Nothobranchius furzeri: one gene and its partners. The protein of the gene in region 5 purifies or fractionates together with the protein of the main gene of each other region. This does not show direct contact. Links are inferred from orthologs where the notes say so. Each region holds a gene or a part of one and is shown on either strand. Other genes may lie near its edges. The genes, in order: rfc4, rps29, heterogeneous nuclear ribonucleoprotein R, heterogeneous nuclear ribonucleoprotein D0, hnrnpub, igf2bp3 and gtf2f1.

Evidence for each region.
Region 1: the proteins of hnrnpub (region 5) and rfc4 fractionate together in Homo sapiens (co-fractionation; 3 studies listed by BioGRID and IntAct, with this or other methods). This does not show direct contact. The link is inferred for Nothobranchius furzeri from reciprocal best matches to the Homo sapiens genes HNRNPU and RFC4.
Region 2: the proteins of hnrnpub (region 5) and rps29 fractionate together in Homo sapiens (co-fractionation; 3 studies listed by BioGRID and IntAct, with this or other methods). This does not show direct contact. The link is inferred for Nothobranchius furzeri from reciprocal best matches to the Homo sapiens genes HNRNPU and RPS29.
Region 3: the proteins of hnrnpub (region 5) and heterogeneous nuclear ribonucleoprotein R purify together in Homo sapiens (affinity purification with mass spectrometry; 3 studies listed by BioGRID and IntAct, with this or other methods). This does not show direct contact. The link is inferred for Nothobranchius furzeri from reciprocal best matches to the Homo sapiens genes HNRNPU and HNRNPR.
Region 4: the proteins of hnrnpub (region 5) and heterogeneous nuclear ribonucleoprotein D0 purify together in Homo sapiens (affinity purification with mass spectrometry; 4 studies listed by BioGRID and IntAct, with this or other methods). This does not show direct contact. The link is inferred for Nothobranchius furzeri from reciprocal best matches to the Homo sapiens genes HNRNPU and HNRNPD.
Region 6: the proteins of hnrnpub (region 5) and igf2bp3 purify together in Homo sapiens (affinity purification with mass spectrometry; 3 studies listed by BioGRID and IntAct, with this or other methods). This does not show direct contact. The link is inferred for Nothobranchius furzeri from reciprocal best matches to the Homo sapiens genes HNRNPU and IGF2BP3.
Region 7: the proteins of hnrnpub (region 5) and gtf2f1 purify together in Homo sapiens (affinity purification with western blotting; 3 studies listed by BioGRID, with this or other methods). This does not show direct contact. The link is inferred for Nothobranchius furzeri from reciprocal best matches to the Homo sapiens genes HNRNPU and GTF2F1.

What each region holds. Positions count from the first base shown.
Region 1 is NC_091756.1:57,709,074-57,712,484, forward strand, and holds the end of rfc4 (replication factor C subunit 4), read left to right. Parts: intron 1-294; coding exon 295-438; intron 439-512; coding exon 513-633; intron 634-1,179; coding exon 1,180-1,305; intron 1,306-1,446; coding exon 1,447-1,527; intron 1,528-1,644; coding exon 1,645-1,758; intron 1,759-2,659; coding exon 2,660-2,752; 3' UTR 2,753-2,911; downstream 2,912-3,411. UniProt on the Homo sapiens protein: Subunit of the replication factor C (RFC) complex which acts during elongation of primed DNA templates by DNA polymerases delta and epsilon, and is necessary for ATP-dependent loading of proliferating cell nuclear antigen (PCNA) onto primed DNA.
Region 2 is NC_091742.1:24,519,075-24,522,022, reverse strand, and holds rps29 (small ribosomal subunit protein uS14), read left to right. Parts: upstream 1-1,411; 5' UTR 1,412-1,447; coding exon 1,448-1,560; intron 1,561-1,951; coding exon 1,952-2,051; intron 2,052-2,331; coding exon 2,332-2,340; 3' UTR 2,341-2,448; downstream 2,449-2,948. UniProt on the Homo sapiens protein: Component of the small ribosomal subunit. The ribosome is a large ribonucleoprotein complex responsible for the synthesis of proteins in the cell.
Region 3 is NC_091759.1:6,948,558-6,952,584, reverse strand, and holds the end of heterogeneous nuclear ribonucleoprotein R, read left to right. Parts: coding exon 1-107; intron 108-776; coding exon 777-912; intron 913-991; coding exon 992-1,197; intron 1,198-1,693; coding exon 1,694-1,843; intron 1,844-1,927; coding exon 1,928-2,049; intron 2,050-2,121; coding exon 2,122-2,728; 3' UTR 2,729-3,527; downstream 3,528-4,027. UniProt on the Homo sapiens protein: Component of ribonucleosomes, which are complexes of at least 20 other different heterogeneous nuclear ribonucleoproteins (hnRNP). hnRNP play an important role in processing of precursor mRNA in the nucleus.
Region 4 is NC_091746.1:62,885,467-62,888,966, reverse strand, and holds part of heterogeneous nuclear ribonucleoprotein D0, read left to right. Parts: intron 1-1,047; coding exon 1,048-1,216; intron 1,217-3,014; coding exon 3,015-3,176; intron 3,177-3,293; coding exon 3,294-3,425; intron 3,426-3,500. UniProt on the Homo sapiens protein: Binds with high affinity to RNA molecules that contain AU-rich elements (AREs) found within the 3'-UTR of many proto-oncogenes and cytokine mRNAs.
Region 5 is NC_091742.1:29,998,752-30,002,754, reverse strand, and holds the start of hnrnpub (heterogeneous nuclear ribonucleoprotein Ub), read left to right. Parts: upstream 1-1,203; 5' UTR 1,204-1,342; coding exon 1,343-1,769; intron 1,770-3,607; coding exon 3,608-3,722; intron 3,723-4,003. UniProt on the Homo sapiens protein: DNA- and RNA-binding protein involved in several cellular processes such as nuclear chromatin organization, telomere-length regulation, transcription, mRNA alternative splicing and stability, Xist-mediated transcriptional silencing and mitotic cell progression.
Region 6 is NC_091751.1:26,468,166-26,471,665, reverse strand, and holds part of igf2bp3 (insulin-like growth factor 2 mRNA-binding protein 3), read left to right. Parts: intron 1-83; coding exon 84-135; intron 136-401; coding exon 402-465; intron 466-770; coding exon 771-1,049; intron 1,050-1,148; coding exon 1,149-1,283; intron 1,284-2,147; coding exon 2,148-2,270; intron 2,271-2,376; coding exon 2,377-2,512; intron 2,513-2,597; coding exon 2,598-2,726; intron 2,727-2,847; coding exon 2,848-2,916; intron 2,917-3,500. UniProt on the Homo sapiens protein: RNA-binding factor that may recruit target transcripts to cytoplasmic protein-RNA complexes (mRNPs). This transcript 'caging' into mRNPs allows mRNA transport and transient storage.
Region 7 is NC_091752.1:52,158,895-52,162,698, reverse strand, and holds the end of gtf2f1 (general transcription factor IIF subunit 1), read left to right. Parts: intron 1-337; coding exon 338-393; intron 394-470; coding exon 471-602; intron 603-1,257; coding exon 1,258-1,328; intron 1,329-2,375; coding exon 2,376-2,517; intron 2,518-2,648; coding exon 2,649-2,781; intron 2,782-2,897; coding exon 2,898-3,102; 3' UTR 3,103-3,304; downstream 3,305-3,804. UniProt on the Homo sapiens protein: TFIIF is a general transcription initiation factor that binds to RNA polymerase II and helps to recruit it to the initiation complex in collaboration with TFIIB. It promotes transcription elongation.

The DNA of each region.
Region 1 (3,411 bases), on a different chromosome or scaffold from region 5:
CGAAAAATGGTACCGTTAAGTACCGGTATCGATTCGTTGGTACCGGGAATTAGTACCGAATCGATTCAAATGTCAAAGGTACCCATCCCTGCCCATAATGCACAGGTGCATTTATGGAGAAAACTGCTCATACCAGCATGGTAGCAGAGGGCTGATGGTATGGGCTAGTTGATTGTATTTTTAAACCATGACTTCATTGTGATTATTACATAAAGTACAGGTGTTGCTCTTCATTTTAATAAGGTTAGATTTAGTCTGATGCCAAACCCTGAAACACATTTTCTTGTATTTAAGTGGGAAGCCATGTCCTCCTTTCAAGATCATCATCCTGGATGAGGCTGACTCCATGACTGCTCCAGCTCAGGCTGCTCTCAGAAGGACCATGGAGAAGGAGTCTCGCACCACTCGCTTCTGCCTCATCTGTAACTATATAAGCAGGTCCGCAGACTCCCAGCAGGCTCGGCTACGCTCTCTGTTTGACCCTGGTAATGATGTGTGTATGTTTTTTTTAGGATTATTGAACCTCTCACCTCCAGATGTTCCAAGTTTCGTTTTAAACCACTGGCCAATCAGATCCAAGAGAAGCGCCTACTGGAGATTTGTGAAAAAGAGAATCTCAAGTACACCAGCGAGGTAGAGGTGACAGTGTGGGTCTTTCACTCACTCACTGCCAGCCGTTTCCTGATCGCTAACGGCCTTCGCTGCCAGCGTTTCTCACCGTTTTTACAGTTTTTTTAAGAGTCACAGAACGTTGCGCGCTAGCATGATGTCGATGCCAAAACAACCAAAACAAAGCGGAGACTCACCTCTTACATCAGGAAGAAGCCGTGTGTTTCGAGCGTTATCCGTTCTTTCATAATCCGTTGTCGAATTGTGATCGGCAGACGCTTTTCCGGTTCGCGCCTCACTTTTTTTACAGGAACGGCCCAAAACGATCTCCTAACACATGGATGGTCTGCTTCCTGATCATGTGACGTGTGACGTATGCGGATGAAGATCGGCTTCAGGGCTGAGATGTTTGAGCATCAGAACGAGCCCCCGCGCTGAGAGAACAAACAGTAAAAAAATGGCAGTGAATGAGTTAAGAATCCATTAGTGGAGTTGGTCAAATTTAGTGGATTTTTGTTTGTCCACGGCTCAGTGCGCATCTTCTCACTTAAGCTTTTTGGTTTCTCTCAGAGTATAAAAGCTTTGGTGCAGTTATCTGAAGGAGACCTCCGGAAGGCCATCACCTTTCTCCAGAGTGCTGCACGTCTCAGTGCCAACAAGGAAATCACCGATGGTGCCATCACTGAGATTGCAGGGGTCGGTTCCAGCACTTTGTATTTCAGTAGATTAGAAGCACCAATAATGAGCCTTTCCATTAAGGATAATTTAAATGTCTTTTGCATTTGAGAGCACAAACTAGTGTTGTGTGTTCACATGACCCTATCTGCTCTCTCACAGGTCGTCCCGTCCAAGATGATCGACAACTTGATCCAGATTTGTTTAAAGGGAACATTTGAGAGGTTGGAAGTTGCCGTCAGGGTAAACGTTTTTGTTTTTCCTTCGTATTTGTGATGGATGAGTTTGTTTGTTGCTGAGCTACAGTGGTGAGTGATGTGCTTGCTCTGCCTCTTGTGTCTAATGTCTCCTCACTAACAGAACATGGTGGATGAAGGCTATGCAGCCACACAGATCCTGAACCAGCTCCATGAAGCCATCTTGGAGCAGGACATTAATGACAAGCAAAAGTCGGCTATCATGGAGAAGATGGCGGTAGGTATTTTAATGTCCGCAGATGGCAGGAATGAAAACATTTAGACACCTTAGCACCTTAGGGCGCCTGTGGTGGATTCGTAGCTGGACATTTGCAGAAGCCCTCTATTACAGCAGTCCTCCTAAAGCCGGGCGTACACTGTGTGTCTTTTTCACTCGTAGCTCTCAGCTTCAGCTCAAACTGTACGACTTCCTCGCAGGGCAGATCTCACGAGTCATGTGCTCACACTGCACGACCCAGGTCTCGCATGCGATCTGACTGCTCACACTGTACGTCTGGTAGCAACACGTCGGCCCTAAAAATATGCTAAAAATAGCAGTTTTTACTCAACACGTTAGACTTTTTTGTCTTGTTTTGCCTGTTGTCCTTCGGGAGTGCTGCAGGAGGACACACAGGCATTTATGGGGGTTGGATGAGGAAAACAAAATAAAGAAAGTAAATCTGTGTTTTGTGGTCAGTTTAATTTGACATGAACACGACAAACACGCTTTCTTGACAATCTTTGTGAGTGAATTACGTCTAGAAATAAAAACGAACAGCGTGTGTTATTAGGGAAATAGCGGGCGAGCAGTGTTGATGGATGATTGCGCATGCGCCGTGAGCGGTTCTGATACTTTTTGGGTCACAGCTGCTCGCAGCGCCGCTTCAACAGTGCGATACCCTCACGAGGGACGAGCGAAATATTAAACACGCCAGAAGTTTGTGCGAGCTCACGATTGCTGATCGGCAGCTGGTCACGTGGTGTTAATCGCCTCTCGTAACCCCCTGTACACTACACGACGCTCGGCGCAAAACTCACCCCGATCTCGTGGATTCTCGCACGAGTGGAAAATCGGCTCAAAAAAGTGAAAAAGCCGCACAGTGTCCGCCCGGCTTAAGCCTGTGTGTGCTCTCTTCCAGGTCGTAGGGAAGTGCCTGGCAGATGGAGCAGACGAGTACCTGCAGTTGTTGAGTCTGTGTTCAGTCATCATGCAGCAGGCTTCTCAAAGCTAAAGCCCCCCCGCCTGAACCAGCATCTGCCTTTCAAGGATGTTGTTGATAGTTACCATCTACCACCCCCACCTCCCTCATAGAAGTCTTGCCTGAGAAAACATCATATTGTTGAACTATTTGTGTATTTTTTCTAAGTAATAAATGGATTTTGTAATCTTTTGTGTGTTTGTGGTGTTAGTTTCTTGGTTTTCAAACATCAGGAGATGTTTCCTTCATCCGCCTGTGAGGGGAAAAGCTGGAGAAAGAGTCTTCTAAACCAATCTAAACTTTTTTTGTGTTGAGACGCAAACATTTATGCCTGAATGGAAACAGGTGTACACTTGCCTCTGACGTGCTCAGGACGGTCTCCTCTTTTTGAGTCATGCTTTGGTTTGAGTCGTGCATAAACTACTGAGAACTCACTGCTGCCAAACGTATTTTACTACCCAGTATCGGATCTCATTTCATCTCTGAAAAAGTGCCTCAGTGCTGAAAAGAGTGGAAAGAATAAACAGAACAGAAAATGAGCTCAGCTATTTAGTCGATCTTATTTCTCGGCCACAGCAGTTTCACCTTCTAGTAATGGTGGGTATTCATGGACCTTCAGATTTAACACTTCAACCAGTTCCTGTTGACTCTGCCTCTGATGGATGGATGCATGTGATGTCCAGCCCTGCAGG
Region 2 (2,948 bases), about 5.5 Mb from region 5:
TTCCAGCCAAACTCCAAGAATATGATAGAAATATTCATCAAGCTATATAAAAAATAATGAGCAGTGTCCTCAGAGTGTTTAAAATAGGAGAAATTCTGAAGCACAGGACATTATTGGGCACATTTTAGTCTAATAATTCTCCCTGTGCATGCGTGGGTTCTCTCCGGGTACTCCGGCTTCCTCCCACAGTCCAAAAAACATGACAGTTAGGTTAACTGGTCTGTCTAAATTGTCCTTGGGTGTGTGTGTGTGTGTGCATGATTGTTTGTCCTGTGTGTCTCTGTGTTGCCCTGTGATGGACTGACTCTCTGTCCAGGGTGTACCACGCCTCATTGCCCATTGACCGCTGGAGATAGGCACCAGCACCGTAACCCTAACTCTTTTTGAACCCAGATTGGTAAGGGTTTAGCAGACAGTTTTGTGAGAGGTATTCTGTGATCTGCTTGAAAGCCACCCTTTCAATGATTTTTGACAGAAAAGGGAGGAGAGAGATAGATCGGTTGTTCTCCACGTGATTTGGAGGAAGAGATAATTTTTTTTTAGCAGCGGTTTAACCTGAGCATGCTTGAGAGAGATGGGTAATGTACCGGATGTCAGTGAAGTGTTGATCACATGTGTGACTGCTGCGGCTACTGTAGGAGCAATAGCCTGGAGCAGCTTAGTCGGAATGGGGTCGAGTGGGCATGTAGTAGGGCGGCTGCACGTGAGAAGCTTGGACGCACAGTTCTCAATGAGAGGGGAAAAAGAGGAAAATGAAGCAGTCGGGCTTGAGATGGTTGGGCTAGAAGGAGTTTGTGGTAGCGAATGTTCAGGAGTGGCCAGTTGAGTAAACTGTTTGCTTATAGCTGCCACGTTGTCAGTGAAGAATGAGGCAAAGGTCTCAGCTGATAGATTTACTACTGCTACTACTACTACTACTACTTGCCTGTACTTTGCTAATATAACTCTACTTCTAAGATATGTGACTAAAACCAAGCCAGTTTACCAAACGTATAATATGCATCCTTAAAAATGAAGATACACCAGATTTTGCACATTTCAAAACAGTTAAAACCTCTTCTTTATAATAAATGGCATTTTAAATTGGCAATTAATATCTAAATAGAAATCACTTGACACGAGTCATAGTCAGAATTCTCTATTGAAAAAAAATAATAACCAAAAATGTAACTTCTCAAATCTGTATCCACCATTTGAATGCTGTGATATAAACAACTAACTAACTAACTAACTAACTAACTAACTAACTAACTAACTAACTAACTAACTAACTAACTAACTAACTAACTAACTAACTAACTAACTAACTAAAAGTCATTATGACACAAGTGAACGCTGCTGTATGGTTTTGTCGTTCAACGTAATACGCAGTTACTAATTTGACCAGTAGGGGCGCACCTAAAATAGTTCTTACCGGAAATTGAGCCTATGCAAACGTCATTTGCGCATGCGCGTACGTCTTTTCCTCCTTTCCGACACTCGAGCGAAAAGAGGCAAGATGGGCCATCAGCAGCTCTACTGGAGTCACCCTAGAAAGTTCGGCCAGGGATCCCGCTCCTGGTCAGTGTTACTCTTAACCCGTGGATGGTCGCGTGACGCGCTAATGCGAGTGATATTTGTGTGTTTGTTTATGTGTTCTTGTGCGAAAACGGGATCAAAGCTGCACCGCATGGGCTTTCATGGCGAAGCTAATATGGCGGCTTAGGATGAACCTCGCCGCCTCTATTCAGCAACATCATCTGTGTTGTTGGTTCGAAGCGTTTACAATAGTTTATTGTTTTTACTAGACTTTAATGCAAATGACAATGTTAAGACTAGATAAGTAAGTAAGCAATCATCATAAATGTAGCGTAATGTGTTGACCGTTAGCCGGGCTCGCTCTGCTTCCGGATGCTCCAGGTACCTTTTCCAATTTCATAGTCATCTAATCCGTATTCTTGTGTGATTTCAGCCGAGTGTGCTCAAATAGACACGGACTGATCCGTAAATACGGACTCAACATGTGCCGCCAGTGCTTCCGGCAATACGCCAAAGACATCGGCTTCATTAAGGTGAGATTCAGTTTTCACCTTAAAAGCGGAATTCTATTCCACATCACCCTCTACACATGTAAACAAGTGTTGCACAAGTAGTCCATGAAGAAACTGTTCTGTAGCTTCTGTCCAGATAAAAACCACGAGCAGCTGCTCAAGAACAAAATAAATTATAAAATTTCGTAGTAAAAAAAACCCAAATTGGAGTATAACTGTATGAGCAAATTATAATAATTATGATTGTTGTAAACTAATAATTACCTCTGCTCTAATTCTCTTTTTATTTGTTTTCCTACAGCTGGATTAAATGACTCGCATTGACATCCTCTGATCGGGTCATGGCGTCATTAGAAGGCTGACCAAGATGGGAAAAAATTAAACACTTCAAATAAATGTGTTGTTTTTTTTGTCCAGATCATCTGAGTTGTGTGGTTATTCACTGTGATTTTAAATGATGTCCACCATAAAACCTCACTACCTCACATTTTTTGGTTATTTTTAATGGCGTAGTCGGAGACCCGGGCTGGGATAGAAAGGTTTTAGCTGCTCGAAATTCAAAACTTTATTGTCTCAATGTTTGAATACAAGCTTATTTAAAATATGCAAAGTAAAAACACGTAGGAAAGTTTTATTATTTAACACCTCTATATACAAAATCAAGGTGAATCACAAGTACATGTAAAACATGAAAAATAATCATGTACATTAAGGTCCACATTTTTTCTGACAAAACTGTAAAAAGGCTTCCATTGAACAATCTTGAGGTCTGGACTTAATTTGGGCAAATGTCCTTTTAGTTCTGCATTGCAGCAAACCTTGGCATCAACAATATCCAACAGTTTTCTAATCAGTTTCTGGTTATTTTAATTGAACCTCATTTAAAGGCATTTCAGTTTCAATATAAAACACCTGATG
Region 3 (4,027 bases), on a different chromosome or scaffold from region 5:
CCATCTGGGACCTCAGGTTAATGATGGACCCCCTGTCTGGTCAGAACAGAGGTTATGCTTTCATCACATACTGCAATAAAGATGACGCACAAAAGGCTGTGAAGCTAGTAAGTCTTACTCTATAATACAAAAAAAACACTAGTCAAATTTCAGTTCCTAATAACACAAGAACATTTATATAAAGGGATACTTTGCAACTTTTTCGTAGTTTTAAAATAATTTTCATGAGCCAGTATGTGCTAAAATGACCTTTTACAGGCTCTAATTTCCCTCTGGGGTTAATAAAGTATTATTGAATTGAATTAATGAAAGGCCACTCAGCTCCTATTGTGACCAAAATATTCCACTTTCAACTTCTGATTCGTGGGCTGCTCTGTTGGGATTTTAAAAAATGTAGCTGAAATACCTGGCACTGCAGTCTGGTTCCAGCACATTTCCTGCATGTTTTAGATCATGAACACAGCCGATTTGTTAAGTTTAGTGATGAGTCACTCCTGTAGACACTAATGAAGGATGAGGAGACATTTCAACATTTCGATTAAGGTGTTAAAAAGACAAATGCACAGCGAGGAAATAGGTTTTGCTTTCGGTTCGACAAACGAACACTGGGGGGTGCTAAAAGCCAGCAAAACTGCCTAGTTCCCCTTTAAGATAGTAGCTAGTTCACTTTATTAAAGATACATGTAAGCCCATAGCAAAAGATGGATAATTGTGTTTTATAAGAAATTCCGTGTCTGTTGTGTGAAATTTTTTTTACCTTTCTTATTTGTTTTCAGTGTGATAACCATGAAATTCGCCCTGGCAAGTACTTGGGAGTTTGTATATCTGTTGCAAACAATCGCTTGTTTGTTGGATCCATTCCCAAGAACAAGACACGGGAAAGTATACTGGAGGACTTTGGGAAAGTGACAGGTTTGTTTTGAGTGCAGTTATAGATTTTATCAAACCAATCTTGACAATACTGGAAGGCTTGTTTTTTTTCACCCCACAGAGGGTCTGCAGGATGTGATACTGTATCACCAGCCAGATGACAAGAAGAAAAACCGCGGTTTCTGTTTTCTGGAGTACGAGGATCACAAGTCTGCAGCACAGGCACGTCGCCGCCTAATGAGTGGGAAGGTCAAAGTGTGGGGCAACCCTGTGACAGTGGAGTGGGCTGACCCTGTTGCTGAACCAGACCCAGAAGTCATGGCCAAGGTCAGTAGTCCATGTTTTCTTCAGAAAATCATTCCCCAGCTCCCAGCGTTAAAAATAGGGATGTGTATCGATGAAAATCTGGCGATACGATACGAATCACAATACAGGGTAGACAATACGATGTATTGTGATACATTCGGCCAGACATTATTAGCAAGTTTTTTAGATTGAATTTATTGTAGGAAAATTCAATAAACAGTCCAAACTGATACGTAACATGTTTAACATGAGGTATCTGAACCATAGTAGAGGGATTTAAATTTCAGAGGTGGCAACAAAACCCATTGCACACTGCTGCTGGCTAGTGGTCAGCATTTGAATTGCACCAAAAGAAAAGAAAGTAAACAAATGTTTGCATGCAAATTCTTCCAGAAACTTCATACACGGCTTTTGAATATCGATGTAATATTGCAGGAAATAATATAGCAATATATTGCTGTTTCGATATTTTCTTATGTTCCTAAATAAAAGACTAAATTGTTTTCTGTGATCTTAGGTAAAAGTGCTTTTTGTCAGGAAGCTGGCTACAGCTGTGACTGAAGAACTTCTGGAGAAAACCTTCTCCCAGTTTGGGAAGCTGGAACGGGTGAAAAAGTTGAAAGACTATGCTTTTGTCCATTTTGAAGATAGGGATGCTGCTGTAAAGGTGGGTTTTTTTATGAAATAATCAGCGTAATACTAGTGCGTCATGTTTCTCGGTACTTGACAGTGATGGTTTGCTCTTTGACAGGCTATGGATGAGATGAATGGGAAGGAGCTTGGAGGTGAGGTAATTGAGATTGTTTTGGCAAAGCCCCCAGACAAGAAAAGGAAAGAGCGCCAAGCAGCTCGGCAGACCACCAGGAGTGGCGGGTGAGCCTAAATGGAAACATGTGGTTGGTCAGTTGCCCAGAACAACATATTCATGAAATTTTCATCCTGCAGGTATGATGACTACTACTACTACCCACCTCCACGCATGCCATCACTAGGCAGAGGAAGGGGTCGTGGTGGCCGGGGAGGCTATGCCTATCCACCTGATTACTATGGCTATGACGATTACTATGACGATTACTATGGCTACGATTATCACGACTACCGCGGTGGCTATGAGGACCCTTACTACGGCTATGAAGATGTGTACAGCATGAGGAGTCGTGGTACTCGCCCCAGCAGGGGTGGACCTCCACCACCTAGGGCTCGCGGGGCTCCAACAGCACGAGGTCGGGGTGGCTTTGCACAAAGGGGGCCACCCCTTGGAGGTCCACGTGGCGCTCGAGGAGGACGTGGAACCCCTTTCCAACCTCAGAGGGGCCGTGGTCCTCGCGGTGCCAGGGGTAATCGTGGCGGGAACGTTGGCGGAAAGAGGAAGGCAGATGTGTTTACCCAGCCCGACTCCAAGCGCCGCCAGACCAACAACCAGCAGAACTGGGGGTCCCAGCCCATCGCCCAGCAGCCCTTGCAGCAGGGGGCCGACTATTCCGGTAACTATGGTTACAGTAATGACACCATGGAGTTTTCACAGGATTCTTATGGGCAACAGTGGAAGTAGATGCACCAAAAGGTATTTGGCAACGACAACAAAAAAAGAGGAAAACAACAATAAAAAGAAAAAAAAAATCAGGAGATTGGCCACAATTTTTGATTGACTTTTTATTCTTCATCACGTGTGAAAAAAAAAGATCTGTACGTATCTCAGAAAAAATGGACACACTGCAGAATTGGCTCAAGATGATTGGCTGGAAATGTTTTTGGCTGAAGAAATGAACGTACCCCTTGAGGTGAATCATTTCTTCCTGCTACAGTCTCATTTGGACGTGTCTTTACAAAAATTGCAAAAAATTTACGCTTTTATTGTTACTTTTTGTTCCTGTTTTTTTTAAAACCAACAAAGAACGTTAACAAAAAAAAGTGGACATTCGTTTTAAAATATCTGAGAGGACGTCAAAAAATGCATATGTCCTTAAGTTTTTTGTCCATGTCCCCCTCCCCATTCTTGTACTCCCTTAATTTGTGGTTTCTTGTAGTTGCTTAGGGATTTGCTTGTAAATAAATGCATATCGTTATAGCTTCATACATCATTTTTTGCGAGGGTGGAGAAAAGAATCCACAAGAAGGAAGAAATCAAAGTTTTGTATTGTTCGAAGTGTATGCATAGCATTTCTAGAGATAGACGAATTGTGTTTATTTGTTTTTTTAACTGATACCATAACTTCCTTGTTTTCATTAAACTTGCCCGGTAGAATTTGGTTTGGCTGACCTTAAGAGCCATAGCAGTTTGTTCTCTGATGTTATTTGTATTTATAACTTTTCCGTTTTGTTCAGTTTCAATAAAACTCAGCTGAGCATCAGTCAATTGTCAAATACTCAAATTCAGTGTTTGTCCTTCACTACTTGATTTGATCCATAACCTCCAATTGTCACATTCGGAAGATCTTTTTTGTCAAATTTTGTCAGCAGTGCAAAAGACTAAAGAACTAGAGAGTTCTGCTTGTCGAGTTGGATTTGAACCCTTTATTCTTCAGTGTTTCGCCCAAATGGCTGTGATCCCCTTACAAGAACACTCATCCTGTAAAGGTGACCGCTACCATTCTCATAGGTTGTTCCCATTTCAGTAGAGCTAATGCTCCTTCAGTAAATGTCTTCAGCCACTAGGAAAATACTCAGTGTACTTTATATTTAATACAAAATTCACAACACTGTTTTCACGTGGATGTAGTTGGAGATTGGCTGACATCTATTAAAGCTTTCACTAAAATTTTAAAAGTAAGAACAAGTTTGGAAAATAGTGAGTTGTCACTTCAACCCTAATAAGTTGACACACTCACCTGGCCTTTCCATTGGATTCGTA
Region 4 (3,500 bases), on a different chromosome or scaffold from region 5:
CCACACTTGACTTGAGCACTGTACAAGTCAACCTTAAAAAATATGTATTTGAAATAAATAGCCACTTTAAACAAATTACTAAAATAACTACTACACTATGTAATCAAATCCAAATGTTCAAGTATAAATGGCATTGAATAAGTAAACAAATCAAATTGACAAGGAACTAATTGTATATTTCTCTTCATCATCAACAAATAAGATGCTTCATCCAGCAACAGGGTGTCCGTGACACGGTTTAAATGCTGGCAGAGGACGCTGCGGCTGCAGTCTATAGTGACTCGTTGCATTCTCCCTCAGCCAAAAGTCCTCACGTCATGCATTTGAGCTAAAATGCTAATGTTAACTTACCTTGCACTGGCTGTAGAGACGTGGGTGATGGTCACGCAGATGTGCCATTAGATTCGAAGTGTTGCTGCCTTTTGCAGACACTTGTTTCCTGCACGTTCTGCAAACGGGATAGCCGTCTTCTATTAACTGTCCCTCAGCATTTTTCAGAAATCCAAAATATGCCCATACTTCCGATTTAGTCTTCTTTGAGGGCTGATGGATGTCCTGGGCGCTGCCGTCTCCTCCTTCGGCCATTATTTCAGCTTCAAAGTTTTGGTGCCGTTGCAAACTAAAAAGTGCGTGTGCGCGCCGCGGGAACTTCAGCTGAAGCGACGGTGGCTGGTAAGGGTCACCGCGCCGAAACCGCGGCCACGGTAAACCCACCGAGATAATTTAGTTTTTTAAAAACTGGACGGTTATTTTTATTGTCAACTTTTTTACCGGGGTTTACCGCTATACCGGTTACCGTGACAACCCTAGAGGAGACCCAAAGGGATGACCCAGGACACAGTTGGAAGAACTACATTTTCAGCTGGTCAAGGAACACCTTGGGATTCCCCTAAAGGAGCTGGCCCAAGTGGCTGGGGAGAGGGAAGGGTGGGCCTCTCTGCTTAGGCTGCTGACCCCCAGATGGCAGATGGAGGGGTGGGAAAAATGCAAGCTGCTCTTCACAGACACTGATTTTTATATTTCCTGACCCATTTGTTTCATTAATAGGAAGATGTTTGTGGGAGGCCTCAGCTGGGACACCACTAAAAAGGACCTGAAGGATTACTTCTCAAAGTTTGGGGAGGTTGTTGACTGCACATTAAAACTGGACCCCATGACTGGTCGATCAAGGGGTTTCGGCTTTGTACTTTTCAAAGAACCGGAAAGTGTTGAAAAGGTACGGTCCTTCTTTTATTTTAATGCTGCAAAACAATAAGTGTGGAGCAGGAGGTTAATCTAGAGTTTATTGAATGATACTCCTTTATTTCATGCCTCAAGCGTATTCATCAGCAGGAGGCACTCCTTCTAGAAATGAACCATTTTCCAACAGAAAGCTTCTGTGCTTCTAGATCATTTGCAACCTTTGCAATCCAAAGAACTTTTCTCCTCAGTCCACCTTAATAAAACTTGTTTAGAGCTGCAAATGTTACAGGATCCTTTTGAGAAGAAACCATTTATAATTCTTGAGTGATGTCTACAGAAGAGAATTAGGGTCACAAAAAACGTTCTTCTTAGAATTCAGAGAGAAAAAATTGGAATTATGAGATTAAAATTGGAAATTAGAATTTTTCTGAGAGTAAAGTCAAAAATTGTATTTTGTCCTCTTTCGTAAATACCTAGCCTAGAAATGTTGACCAACCGTAGTAGAAGCAAAAGATTTTGGTCTGCAGGTCGGTCTAGTCATGCTCCATGTTGCCTCAGCAGGTCTACAGTTGGCTCGAACATTTGGCTTAATGTAAGAGCTGCAGTGGAGAAAAACTACGAAGATGGCAATGGTTTATAATCTGCGCTTGTTTTCAATGGCTTTGGCATGAACTTTGGAAAATTAGACTTGGGCTTCTCTTTGAGGCATGAGCAGATAGAGGTACAAACAGCATGTGTTTGCTTCTTATGTGTATGGCAGACTGATTTAAGTAGCGATGAATATGTTATATTGTTCGTTGCTCTTATTGGTCCTAGTACTGTCCAGTAGCATGCAGAGGCCGTTTGAAAGACAACTGTAGATCCCGCCCTATGACTGAGCTCTGTCTATGGGTCGTGGTACTACACATATATAGGTTGGGTTGCTGCCAGGATAATAAATATAATAGATTTGTTGTCATTTTTTGAAAGAAAAAATAAAACTTCAATTTATTTCATTATTAGTTTTTTAAAAATTAGATTGAGGGAAAATAAATAAAACTTATAGAGGCGTGAATCTTCACTAGTCTCATGACTCGATTAGATTCAATATCCTGATTCATAACGATTATTTCATATGGGTTTGCTTTCATTGATAAATAGAGGATGACAGATATGTGCTTTTAAAAAATCTGACACAACACACCATCCCCCAAAAGCTCTTCGTTCACAGCAGACTGTAGGATAATGTAAGAGGGTAAAACATTTATAACAAGATAAAAAATCTGTTTCCTCATTCAGTAGTCATGCCTCAGGCTGTGGGAGAAGCATGCTCTGCAGATGCAAAAAACCCAATTGGACATGTCTGTAATTTAGGTTATAAAATCCATAATGGATCCATATATTAGGTTTTAATGTCTTTGAGCTGCTTTAGTCACATGTTTGTGCCAAGGTACAAGGGCGTAAGAAATAAATAACACCAAAGGAAATGTTTGGCTTTGTTTGTTATTTTATTTGAACCCAACGGTCTCATTTCAGAAAAGTTGGAGAGTGGATCAAATTCTGTTCAATGCAGAAAATAATAAAACATAAAAAATCCTATTTCATCACAACATCAGCAGGAGGCTGTAGGTTGAATTAGGATTAAATCACAGCCTACCCAGATGATGGACCACCTTCACTGACCTGACCTGTGTGACCTTTATTATCTCCTCATATCCACGGTGTCTCTGTTGATGTTCGCAGCCCGAAAAACGAACCCTGACAGTTGTTTGATCAAAAGGCCAAACCATCCATAGAACTGTTGATTGACTCTACGTTTAACTGGTTTATTGTTGGCGTTTGTCCTCATGAAGGTTGCATCACAGAAGGAACATAAGCTCAACGGGAAGGTGATCGACCCCAAAAGAGCCAAAGCCATGAAGGCCAAGGAGCCTGTGACGAAGATCTTTGTTGGTGGTCTGTCTCCAGATACTCATGAAGACAAAGTCAGAGAGTACTTCAGTGCTTTTGGAGAGGTGTGACACATACACACACACACACGCCTCACTTTATATTCGTTAAGCTTTTGCTTGCATTTTCCTTTTTAAATAAAACCCAATATATCATGAATGCATTCACTATGATTTAATCAGGTGGAGTTGATTGAACTTCCCATGGAGAACAAAACTAACAAAAGGAGAGGCTTCTGCTTCATCACATTTCTAGAGGAGGAGCCAGTGAAGAAGATTATGGAGAAGAAGTACCACAACATCGGACTCAGCCAGGTGCAATCACTTCATCCAATCAGATTTCATTATATGACTGTACCTTAATGAAGACATAATAAATTAATAATGTTT
Region 5 (4,003 bases):
ATGCATACATACATACATGCGTACATACATACATACATGCATACATACATACATACATACATACATACATACATGCATGCATGCATGCATACATACATGCATACATACATACATACATACATACATACATACATACATACATACATACATACATACATACATACATACATACATACATACATACATGCGTACATACATACATACGTACATACATACATACAAACATACATGCGTACATACATACATACGTACATACATACATACATACATGCGTACATACATACATACATACAAACATACATACATACATACGTACATACATACATACAAACATACATACGTACGTGCGTACATACATACATACATACATACATACATACATACGTACATACATACATACAAACATACATGCGTACATACATACATACGTACATACATACATACATACATACATACATGCGTACATACATACATACATACATACATACATACATACATACATACGTACGTACGTACGTACATACATACATACATACATACATACATACATACATACATACATACATACATACATACATACATACGTGGTGCCTTGCAAAGGTATTCATACCCTCTGAACTTCTACATATTTTGACCACAAACTTCAATATTTTTATTGATATTTTCTTTGCTAGATCAACATAAAAAAGCACATAAGTGTGAAATGAAACATGGTTTTCAAAAATTTTAAGCAAATAAAAATATGAAAGTGTGTTGTGCATTTGTATTCAGCCCCCTGCATAAATACTTTGTGGACTCATCTTTTGCTGCAATTACAGCTGAATGGCTTTGGGGGGTGTCTCTTTGGGTTATGTCCCTACCAGCTTTCCACATCTAGAGCCTGAATGTTTTGCCCTTTGTTCAAGCAACAGGCGCAATAAAGGTAGAGGCAACAAAACACAGCTTGAAGCAGATGGTGTGATTAGATAGATTATTGATAATGAGTTGTTATTAGTCTACCTGGTCATCTGTAAATGATGTAAGGGGTTTGACAGTCTTGTTTTAGGTGCCCCGTTTAAACTTGGGGCACCCGTCTCTCATCTCTGCACTGCCCTGTTCTTGTTCCAGTTTTAATACCGTGGTGGCTCTGGCTCGACTGTGCTGCTTTTAGGATCATTACGGTAGTGGTTAGCGCTCTGCTCCCCCTCCCGCCGCCGAGGCTGGCTCATCAGCTCCCTCTCCGTTGGTGAAAGGTTGGATCGCGCGTAACGTTTGGCGTCGTTTCGAGCAACATCTACTAACAAAGTGCACGTTATTGTTTATTTGTCGACGTATTTTAGTAGTTTGTCGTTAAACGTCCACAATGAGCACGATTAACGTGAAGAAGCTTAAAGTAAACGAGCTAAAAGACGAGCTCAAGAAACGAAACCTATCAGACAAGGGGCTGAAGGCCGATCTGATGGACCGCTTGCAGGCCGCGCTGGACGAGGAGGCCCTCGCTGGAGACTCGGCCGCTCAGGATGTGGCGACGGACGAGCAGGCCGCGGACATCCAGGAGGGTATGGGGGAGGAAGAAGAAGGCCCGGTAGAGGAGAGCATGGAGGCCAACGAGGGAGAAGAGCCGGCGAATGACGGCGACGGGAACGGTGTGTCGGTGGACGAGGAGATGGGTGAGGGGGAAGAGGAAGGTGACGAGGAGGACGAGATGGATCCCATGCTAAAGGAGGATGTAGACGACATGGAGAAAATTGACACAGAAGATGGTGAGCCCGGCGATCACGCTACTGAGGGTGAGAAGAAACAATACGCTATGAAAATGATTTGTTGGATGAACCGTGGCTGGGTGTCATTTTGTGGGGGGAGGTGGGAACTGTAGCGTAGATTTGAATGCTTTTCCGTAAGGGAGGGGTAGCCGGTTGTTACCGCTTATCATGGCGTCCATGTTGAGTCAGTCAGCGTGATTCAGGCTAGTTAGCATTAGCCAACGCCTTGGTTACAATAATTTAAATGTACGATTCTCTAACCCAGTTTACCAACGGATAGTAGGTTAATTGACACGGACTAACTAAGGAACATGCTTATAAATAATTCTTAAGAAATTAATTTGTTATTTTTCTCTTGTGTCGCTTGATAGTAGCACGCTAGTTAGCATCGTTTTTCCTTTGTATCGGTCTGCGCTAGCTAGCCGTGTTAGCCATTTCAGAGGTTCCCATCACGCTTTAGTCGGTTTTCCTCTCGCCAAGGCTTCATCTGGACTACGTTTGATCAGCTCTAGTTCAGAACTACAGCACGTAGACGAGGCGGGAGGGGGCTAAAGTAATTCTTTAATACATATAAAAACTAAAACGTGTTCTGTTTTCAGAACAGGATCAGTTCTTACGTGCTCCAGTCGCAAAAACACAAATTACTGAAGACAATTTTAGTTTTTAGATTTTTTTAATGAGTGGGTCCAAACGTGGTCTAAATCCCCCATGCGTTACATTTTCTACCTCTGATCAACTAGGAGTGGCACACATTACTGATGAAGTTTTCTACAAGGACCGCTTCTGATCTGGTCCAGAGATCAGCAAGGCACCAGAGTCTGTCACCTTGCTTCATATGACTGGTTCTGATGTGGTCCCGTTATCAATAACACTTTAGTCTTACTGAATGATTAACGGTTTCACAAACTCCATTTGGTAGCACTTTTAGCTTTTAGCAAGGTTCACATCCCAGCTCCAGCCTTTCTGCATGGAGTTAGCTTGTTCTCCGCGTGCATGTGTGGGTTTCCATGGTTTCCTTCCGCAGGTCAGTGCATGTCAGCTTCAAACTGTTAGTCCAGATGTCTGCGTGTTTTTGGGCTGGACCACTTTGAGTTGCCCATAAGAACTAAATTGTCCCAGTCTTGGACTGTATGTGATTGATTAAATTATTAAAGATTCTATCTAGTGTAGACGAGTGAAGTCCAGAATCGTGTTTAGCCGGATCAAAAGCCAACACTAGCATCAGGTCTGGTTATGAGGTGCAGATGTTTGAAGGAAGAGCCTCAGCAGGCTGATGTAAAAGACCTGAAGCTGTATTTGGGTGTTAGTTTGGGTTATGAGCTTGGGAACCTCTGAACTTGCTAACCCAGCGCTTTGCAGAAGAACGGAGTGGCCTACAACTTTCCTGATACGTCCATCGTGTGTTTTCGATTTGAAATACAAGCGTGATATTAAAGGGTATACATACATTTTTATTTACATATCATCCTTTTCTTTAGCGGGGGGTGTCATTGGGCTTTAGGTAGGTTTCCCTGCATGGTTAACTCCCCCTGATGCAGTAGACCCTCATCTAGGACTAGAGGACTTGTATCTGAAGGGTTCTTACCCTTTCACGACCCCTTTTCCAGCCCCATCAAGCTCTGCTGCTGCTGTTCATTTGGGCCAGTTCATGCTGTAATTACTACCTGGTCTTACCAGTTGTTACAAGTCATGTAATATGATTGTACTGTTTTAAATGTAACTATGAGGTGTTTCCTCTTGGTAATCATGCTAGACGCAATGTAAATAATGAACGGGCTTCGTGGGCCAGAACCCCACTGCCAGTCCGACCTCTCTCTCTCTCAAAAAGGAGCACCTCATTCTATATCTTTGTTCTATTTTCAAAGGAGATGCGGACAAAGACACGAATGCTGATCAGAAGAATAAGAAGGGTGTTAAGAGACGCCGGGAGGAACATGGAAGGGGCTACTTTGAATTTATTGAAGAGAACAAATACAGCTGGTAAGGATGGGACAGAGCCGAGGTGGCCTTCAGCATCCCTGAAGCGCCATCCAAGCTTTGTTGAACTGTATTGGCTTTAAGTGCCAATGCACATAACTAGCAAGAGGTAAAGCCTCGTTTGAAGTATTCTATCATATATTTATGATATAACCTTTCACACATGTGTTTGAGGGTCATCCCTGAATAGCTAAAGCCTTACCATTTACCTTTTTACACTCACATTGTGTCTTTAACGACTGCATTCTGTAGCAGAAGTGCATCTATCAATCTCATATCTGTTC
Region 6 (3,500 bases), on a different chromosome or scaffold from region 5:
ATGACAAAATAATCTGAAGGCTTTCCAAAGGAAGAACTAACCATTAAAATCAGTGATGCAATCAGGGCTCTTCTCTTCCGCAGGTTCTGGACGGTATGCTTGCTCAGTACGGTGCAGTAGAGAGCTGTGAACAAGGTAAACTTTTGTTTTTACATCTAGGAGCAAAAGAGGTCATTCTGACTAATATTTACAAAAGACACAAATCCAGTGGCTGCATCTACACACCTTTTCTTGGATGAGTTACTAATGCTGGATGGAGTCTGAGATGGTCAACCTGAAAACATCACCGGAAACCCTTTAGCCTGTTTGTTGATCGCCACTGTTGGAAAAAGTTAAACCATCAAACAAAGGAGGCTGTATTGTCAAAGTGTGTGTGTGCGTGTGTGTGTTCTCTCTCACAGTAAACACTGATACAGAAACTGCCGTTGTCAGTGTTCGATATGCAACCAAGGACCAAGCGAGGCTGTGAGTACACGTCTGCTCTGATGTCTTTGAAACTGTTTGAATTGAACTGCATCCAGTTACCTTCATGTTGTTGAAGCTTGTAGCAGAGGGGAGATAGGGGAGAGTGGTCACATGTTTGTGGATGAGCCTGCTGGAGAGGAAGGGGTTTAAATTAACCATGTAGTGCCCCCTGGTGTACAGAAGTCCAACTACCACGGTGTAGTTGGTGCAGGTCGTTAGTCTCCTAGTGCAGTTGTGTCAAAGGCTGCATTCAGGTCACTGAGCTGTTCTCTAGTAAACAGAACTGGAATGTCTTGCGTTCCCAGTGCGATGGAGAAGCTGAACGGATCCATGATGGAGAACTTCGCCTTGAAAGTGTCTTATATCCCAGATGAAACGGCTGCACCAGAAGGTCCTTCTGCGGGCGGCAGGAGGACCTTCAACTCTCGTGGACCTCCTCGTTCAGGTTCTCCTGGTCTGGGAGCACGGCCCAAAGTCCAGTCAGACATCCCGCTGCGCATGCTGGTCCCCACGCAGTTTGTAGGGGCGATCATCGGCAAGGAGGGCGCCACTATCCGCAACATCACCAAGCAGACCCACTCAAAGTACGTACACGGAGGTCAGGACATAACTGCACATTCAGAAAATCGCTTTTACTGTTCATGTTGGAACGTGCTGACTGGTCGTCCGGTTCTTTACACCAGGATCGACATCCATAGGAAGGAGAACGCAGGTGCAGCGGAGAAGCCCATCACAATCCACTCCACCCCAGAAGGCTGCTCAAACGCTTGCACGACCATCATGGAGATCATGCAGAAGGAAGCCCTCGACACAAAGTTGTGAGTTCAGTGAGCGGCTTGTTTCAACACAAAGATTAGATGTGAGCATCGTGACTGGAGGTTGTGAACGGAGCTGTAGAACATGATGGCTTGGAAGGGTTAAAGATTCCTGAAGGGAGCGTGAGAGCCACCACTAAAACAGATTTTGGGCTCCTAAAAACGGCTAATTTTTAACTAGAAGGACAAAGTAACTCAGACACTTAGGCCCTGTCCACACGTAGCCGGGGATCTGCCAAAACGTAGATATTTTTCTACGTTTTGGCCTGTCATCCACACGAAAACGGAATTTTTTCACACGAAAACGGATCTTTTTAAAAACTCCGGCCAAAGTGAAGATCTGCGTTTTCTCTGTTTTGGGTGTCTGCGTGTGGACGGACAAAACCGGAGTTTTAAGGTCCGCAACGTCACTTTCCGCGACGAAAAAAGTGCTGACATCACGTGCGCGACCTGTGTTTACACTAGCCGACAGCATGGATGCCCTCAGAGCTGCGCTCGCTTTATCAATTGTCCAAGCGTTTTCTGCTTGTTTGTTTTTGCAAGCGGAATTACTGCTCCTTGCGGAAGACCCCAGACGAAGGACGAGGTTAAGAACGGGGGAAGTACTGCCGCCTACAGGTCTGGCATGTCCTTAACAACGTATTTATCCGGGTACGTGTGGACAGAGTTTGTTTTAAAACGCGGTGATGTGGATTCAAGTTTTTGGAGGGGCGGTTATTCGTTTTCAAAAAAACCCGGCTACGTGTGGACTAGGCCTTAAACTTCATTTGTTCTCTCTGTGCTCGGGTGGTGTTTCCTTCTTAGATGAATAGATTTGATCCCAGTGTTGAGTGTTTGATGGTTTGTTACACTGCTCTTGTCGTGCAGCACTGAGGAGATTCCACTGAAGATCCTCGCACACAACAACTTTGTAGGAAGATTAATTGGAAAAGAAGGACGCAACCTGAAGAAAATCGAGCAGGACACGGGGACCAAGATCACCATCTCACCGTGAGACGCCAGGCTGTTGATGCCGCCTTTCTCTGCATCATATGCAGCAAAGTTGTAAGTGAAGCGGCTAAAACGGCACATCTCTGCTCTGATGGCTTGTGTCCAGGTTGCAGGATCTCACCCTCTACAACCCAGAGCGGACTATCACAATAAAGGGCTCCATCGAGGCGTGCTCAAGTGCAGAGCAGGAGGTGATGAAGAAAATCCGGGAGTCGTACGAGAGCGACATGGCTGCTATGAACGTGAGAATTCCTGTTTTCTTTGCAGAGGCGAGAACTCCTCCATCTTAACCTGCATGCTTATCGATGCGTCTGAATTTCTCTGCAGCTCCAGTCCAACCTCATTCCAGGCTTGAATTTGAATGCGTTGGGTTTGTTCCCCAGCGGAGCACCAGGCATGGGTCCTTCAATGTCCAATGTCCCGCCCCCTGGAGCGCTTGGCGGATGTTCGTTTGGTGTAAGTAAGACTTGGTTGTGTTTTCTATTAAGTGGATTGAGAAACTCGTACATTTTTGGGTATGTCTGGTTAAAACGAGAAGTCCAGAGCGACTGGGTTTCACGTGTCCTTTTTCCTCTAGTGCAGTCCTTATGGGGCCGAGGGGCCGTTTTGGGCTTCTGTGCTGTCGGAGAGCAGCCAGCCCCTTGCTGTAAGTCACCCATCCTGAAGCGCTTTGCACGGCTTGTGGCTGCTTGCTGCAGGATTAGGGCTTAGGGTTGGCTGCAGGTTTCTCTAGATGCCTCCTGAAGGTTCATGCAGGTTGTCATGTATCTGTTCAGATGGATGGAGGTGTGTAGGCTCTGAAGGACGTTTATCTTAGCAAGCTAGCTACTTGTTTTTACCAATTCAGTTCCTTTGGGCATATGAGTCTATTAAAGCAACGATAAGCAGACTTTCCACTCCTCCCTCCTAGGTAGAAAGTGGACTTGCAACAGTCGTTAACAGCCCTGCTGTAGTTTGACGCAAACGCAGGAGCGTAGAGACGCACAACGCCATTATTTGTCCCTGTGAGGGCTTTACAGCAGGCTCGCAAGGATGGACGGAGTGGAGCTCACTTTTCTAAACATCGGTCGAACAAGACCAACGCAAGCTTGCGATTGGTCAGGTCGTCACTTTCGTCAACAGCACCGCCATTGTGTCCTTAAAAATGGAGCTGATCATATCTAGACACGGAGAAGCTAGAAGAAAACCTCGCAGAAAAACTACAAATATGAATGTTTTATTTCCCCGTGA
Region 7 (3,804 bases), on a different chromosome or scaffold from region 5:
TAAATGTATTTACCTACTTATCAACTTACTGCATTCGACTCGTCTTAACTCCTCATCTAGAATCTTCTGGTGCTGATCCGTGGCTGACGACAGCTGTTCAGAGCGGACATGTTTGTTATGAAACATGCTGTTCCCGCATGTGACCACAGAATGCTGTTGCTACTTTATGCACTTTAAGTAGAGAAAAGTCTCAAACTTCCACTATTTTCTGGTACAACTATCATTTATGACACAGTGTCATTAGAGATGCACTGATTTTGATAACAAGGCTTGTGTGTGTGTGTGTCTTTCTTTTAGAAATGGTTGTGTGTTCATGTGTTATTTTCTTTCCCAACAGCCCAGATGAAGACCAAGTTAACGAGAAACCCACCAGAGAGGAAGAGCATCCTAAAGGTTGGTGTGAGACGATACTGGTATTCTCCTGCAGGAGTTTTGTTTGTTTCTCATTGAAGTAATTTGTCTGTTTGCAGGAATCGATGAGGAATCAGAGAGCGAGGAAGAGAGCGAAGAGGAGAAGAAGAATGAAGAAGAAGCAAAGGAGGAGGAAGAGGAGGAGGAAGGGAAGAAAACCCCTGTTCAGGTGGAAAAGAAGAAGAAGAAAGGTATGAACTTCACGAGTGATGTTACGACCCCTCCTGTCTGAAAGGAGTAACTCAGAAAATTAAAATAAAAGGAATGCACCAAGGTCTTAGCAACAATTTGATGTTTGTTATAACAAAGGTTCACTCAAAGTAGAAGAGGCACTGCAGTATAACAGACAAAGCAAGTCTCCTGTATCCAATATTAATTGTGACATTTAACCCACTGGGAGAAAACTATCTCAACTCATTAACTAAACACACATGCTGGATAAACGCACAGCAGAACTGGTGGAAAACTGGGTTAAACACTGAAGGGGAACTAAATCTAAAGAAACTGTTGTCTTAAAGACATCAATTAACTAAGCGATCTCTATACTACGAGTTATTCTAATAACAGACAAGCCACAACCAAGGGGATGACGGAGAAGATCTGTGCCCCCTTTTAAAGGCTTGAGCTGTCTAGATGCAGATTCCTGCAGCAGCGTGTCGCTCTCCCTGGTGCTGAAAGTGGAGGCTGGAACTGAGCTGGAGAGGAGAGTGGCAGCTTGCAGGTGCTGTGCAAGGTTCTGACTCAGGAGAAACTTACAGGAGCTGTAGCAAATTACAATTTCTTTTGGGTTTAGATTTTAAAGATGGCTGAGTTCCGGGGTCAATTATTTCTTTTTGTTCGTGACAGACAGCAGCGGCGAATCAGACAGCTCCGATGACAGCGACATCGAGGGAGAGACGGCCTCTGCTCTGTTCATGGTGTGTGTGTGTGTGTGTGTGTGTGTGTGTGTGTGTGTGTGTGTGTGTGTGTGTGTGTGTGTGTGTGGGAAAGAGTTCTGCTTTAAATTACAGCTCAGTTAGTCATTCATTGACACATTATGACCTAGGGGTGGGAAATTTAACCTGTTTTTTATGCATCGCGATCGAGACAAAGATTCTGACTGCATTTTAAAATGTAAAAAATGATGTTAATTGTAATAATAAGAGCGGGTAGGAACATATAACCCCAGTTTAACACTAGAAGCATCAGCAGCACGAAACGGTTTACTTGCAAACTTCAATGCGGTCCTCTTCACACGGGGAGAGTCTTGGCCGTGGTACGTCTTCCTTCCTGTGCTCCTCGCTGGACTCGCGGGATCACAAAATCTCTCGAGATTTCAAAGATCACGGTTTGTTTATGCAATCTGCCATTAAACCAAAAAGAAAAAAATCACATTTGATATCGCTGTTTGATGTCATATATGATGTTTTTCTCTCCATAGTCAGGATTAAAGCCATGAAAACACACCGCTGCACTTCTGGAACGATACTGGGAGTAAATAAGACGTTGGGTCACACGTAAGCTTCATATATATGACATTGCATCGTTTCAGTACTTTTATTTTGAAAATTACCCGGGATTTTACACTGAAACCATGTGTGATTTCCTGTCTAGCCTTATGTTCACTGCGGGAATTGACGCATCCCAGAAGCGGCTCGTGGCAAAAATAGAAACCAATCTTTAGCGGCGCAGCGTGCCGCTTCTGGGACGCTCCTGAAAATTGTCGCATCGTGGCTGGTTTCAAACACTCCATAGACAAAAGATTTTATTTGAAGCAGTGACGTTCCGCGCCTCTGATGCTTTCAGTGTGAAACCGGTGTAAGACGGGACATAAATCTGGGTCATAATGGAACCACGAGGAGCTGATAGATTCCCACCCCCTACTACTTAAGTCGAGTGTTTGAGTCTAAATGAAGTTGTGAATATTTCTTTTTTTTGCTGCATATTTGCTTTCATTTTTATTATTTTTAAATTGCTCTTTGCAGAAGAAGCGAACTCCTCCTAAGCGTGCAGGCGGTCGTGGCTCTGCAGGAAGCTCTAGGACAGGAAGTCGTCCTGGAACTCCATCAATCGACTCCGCCTCCACCTCCAACACTCTGCGGGCTGCTGCTAGCAAGCTGGAGCAAGGTGTGTGTGCCTGTAGATTAGCACAAATACGGAAATCGGTCACAAATACCATGTCAACGATGAGAATAATTTATTTTCTTTGATCCTTAAGGGAGGATTTGTGTTTAATTAAATCTCTCTCTCTCCTGTAGGGAAGAGGCAGGGAGCTGCTGCAGACTCCCCAGCTGCTAAAAGGCTAAAGATGGAGCCCAGCACTCAGAGTCCTGTTCCCTCTGGGAAGAGCACACCCCAGCCCCCATCAGGCAAATCCACCCCCAGCTCAAGGTAAGTACCATCAGAAAACAGAAAGAAATAAATCCGTTTATTAGGCTTAAATCAAAATCTAAAACTCTGCAAACTGCTAAAAAACCCTGACTTTATTTATTTATCCCCCGCTACAGTGACGTCCAGCTAACGGAGGACGCGGTCCGCCGCTACCTGATCCGTAAACCGATGACCACGAAGGACCTGCTGAAGAAGTTCCAGACTAAACGGACGGGTCTGAGCAGTGAGCAGACGGTCAACGTGCTGGCTCAGATTTTGAAGCGCCTCAATCCAGAGCGCAAAAATGTCAACGACAAAATGCATTTCTACCTTACAGAGTGAGCAGGTGGGTGGTGCAGCAGAGGAGGGGTGGGGTCTGGAGGGAAGTTTGATGCAGCAGGACTTGAGCTGTGCAGAAACGCCAGCGGCTCTGAACGTATTCTGTTCAACATGTTGAGTTTGTTTAGTCTGAACTTTTGCTGAGTGACAGTTTAAGAGTCGAAATAAAAATCTTAGAGCTTCTTTCAAAATGAAAGGAAACATCTTTAGCTTGTTTTTCTTGAGTTGGAACTTTTATAATGAAATTGAAACCCTGAAAAGTGATTTCCTCTTGCTCTTCTGTCACATTCAGCATCTCTGCACATTAAAGCAGAAATTCTCAGAGAGCACCATCTAGAGGTGGAAAAATGTATCGCATCTTAAGCCCCTCTCCCACGCCATGTTCGTGAACACGCACCTCTAGCCAACCAACAGCTAAAACACATTTTTCTAAGATTATTCTCCTGTAAAGCTGTTTATTCATATTTTTATATTTTAAATACTCACCCACAAGAAATGTTACCAACTCTGCATCAGTCTGCAAACGCTCAGTGATGCAGGTTAAGTACAGATGTGACATCTGTATATAAGAGGATGCCTAATGCTATTGACTAATGAGCAGTCATCATTTCAAATCGCACAAGGCTCTACAGACTCTTAAAAATTGACACATGACCTACATTATCATACAACCGGGTAAGACGATCACTTTTATGTGTTTCTAAA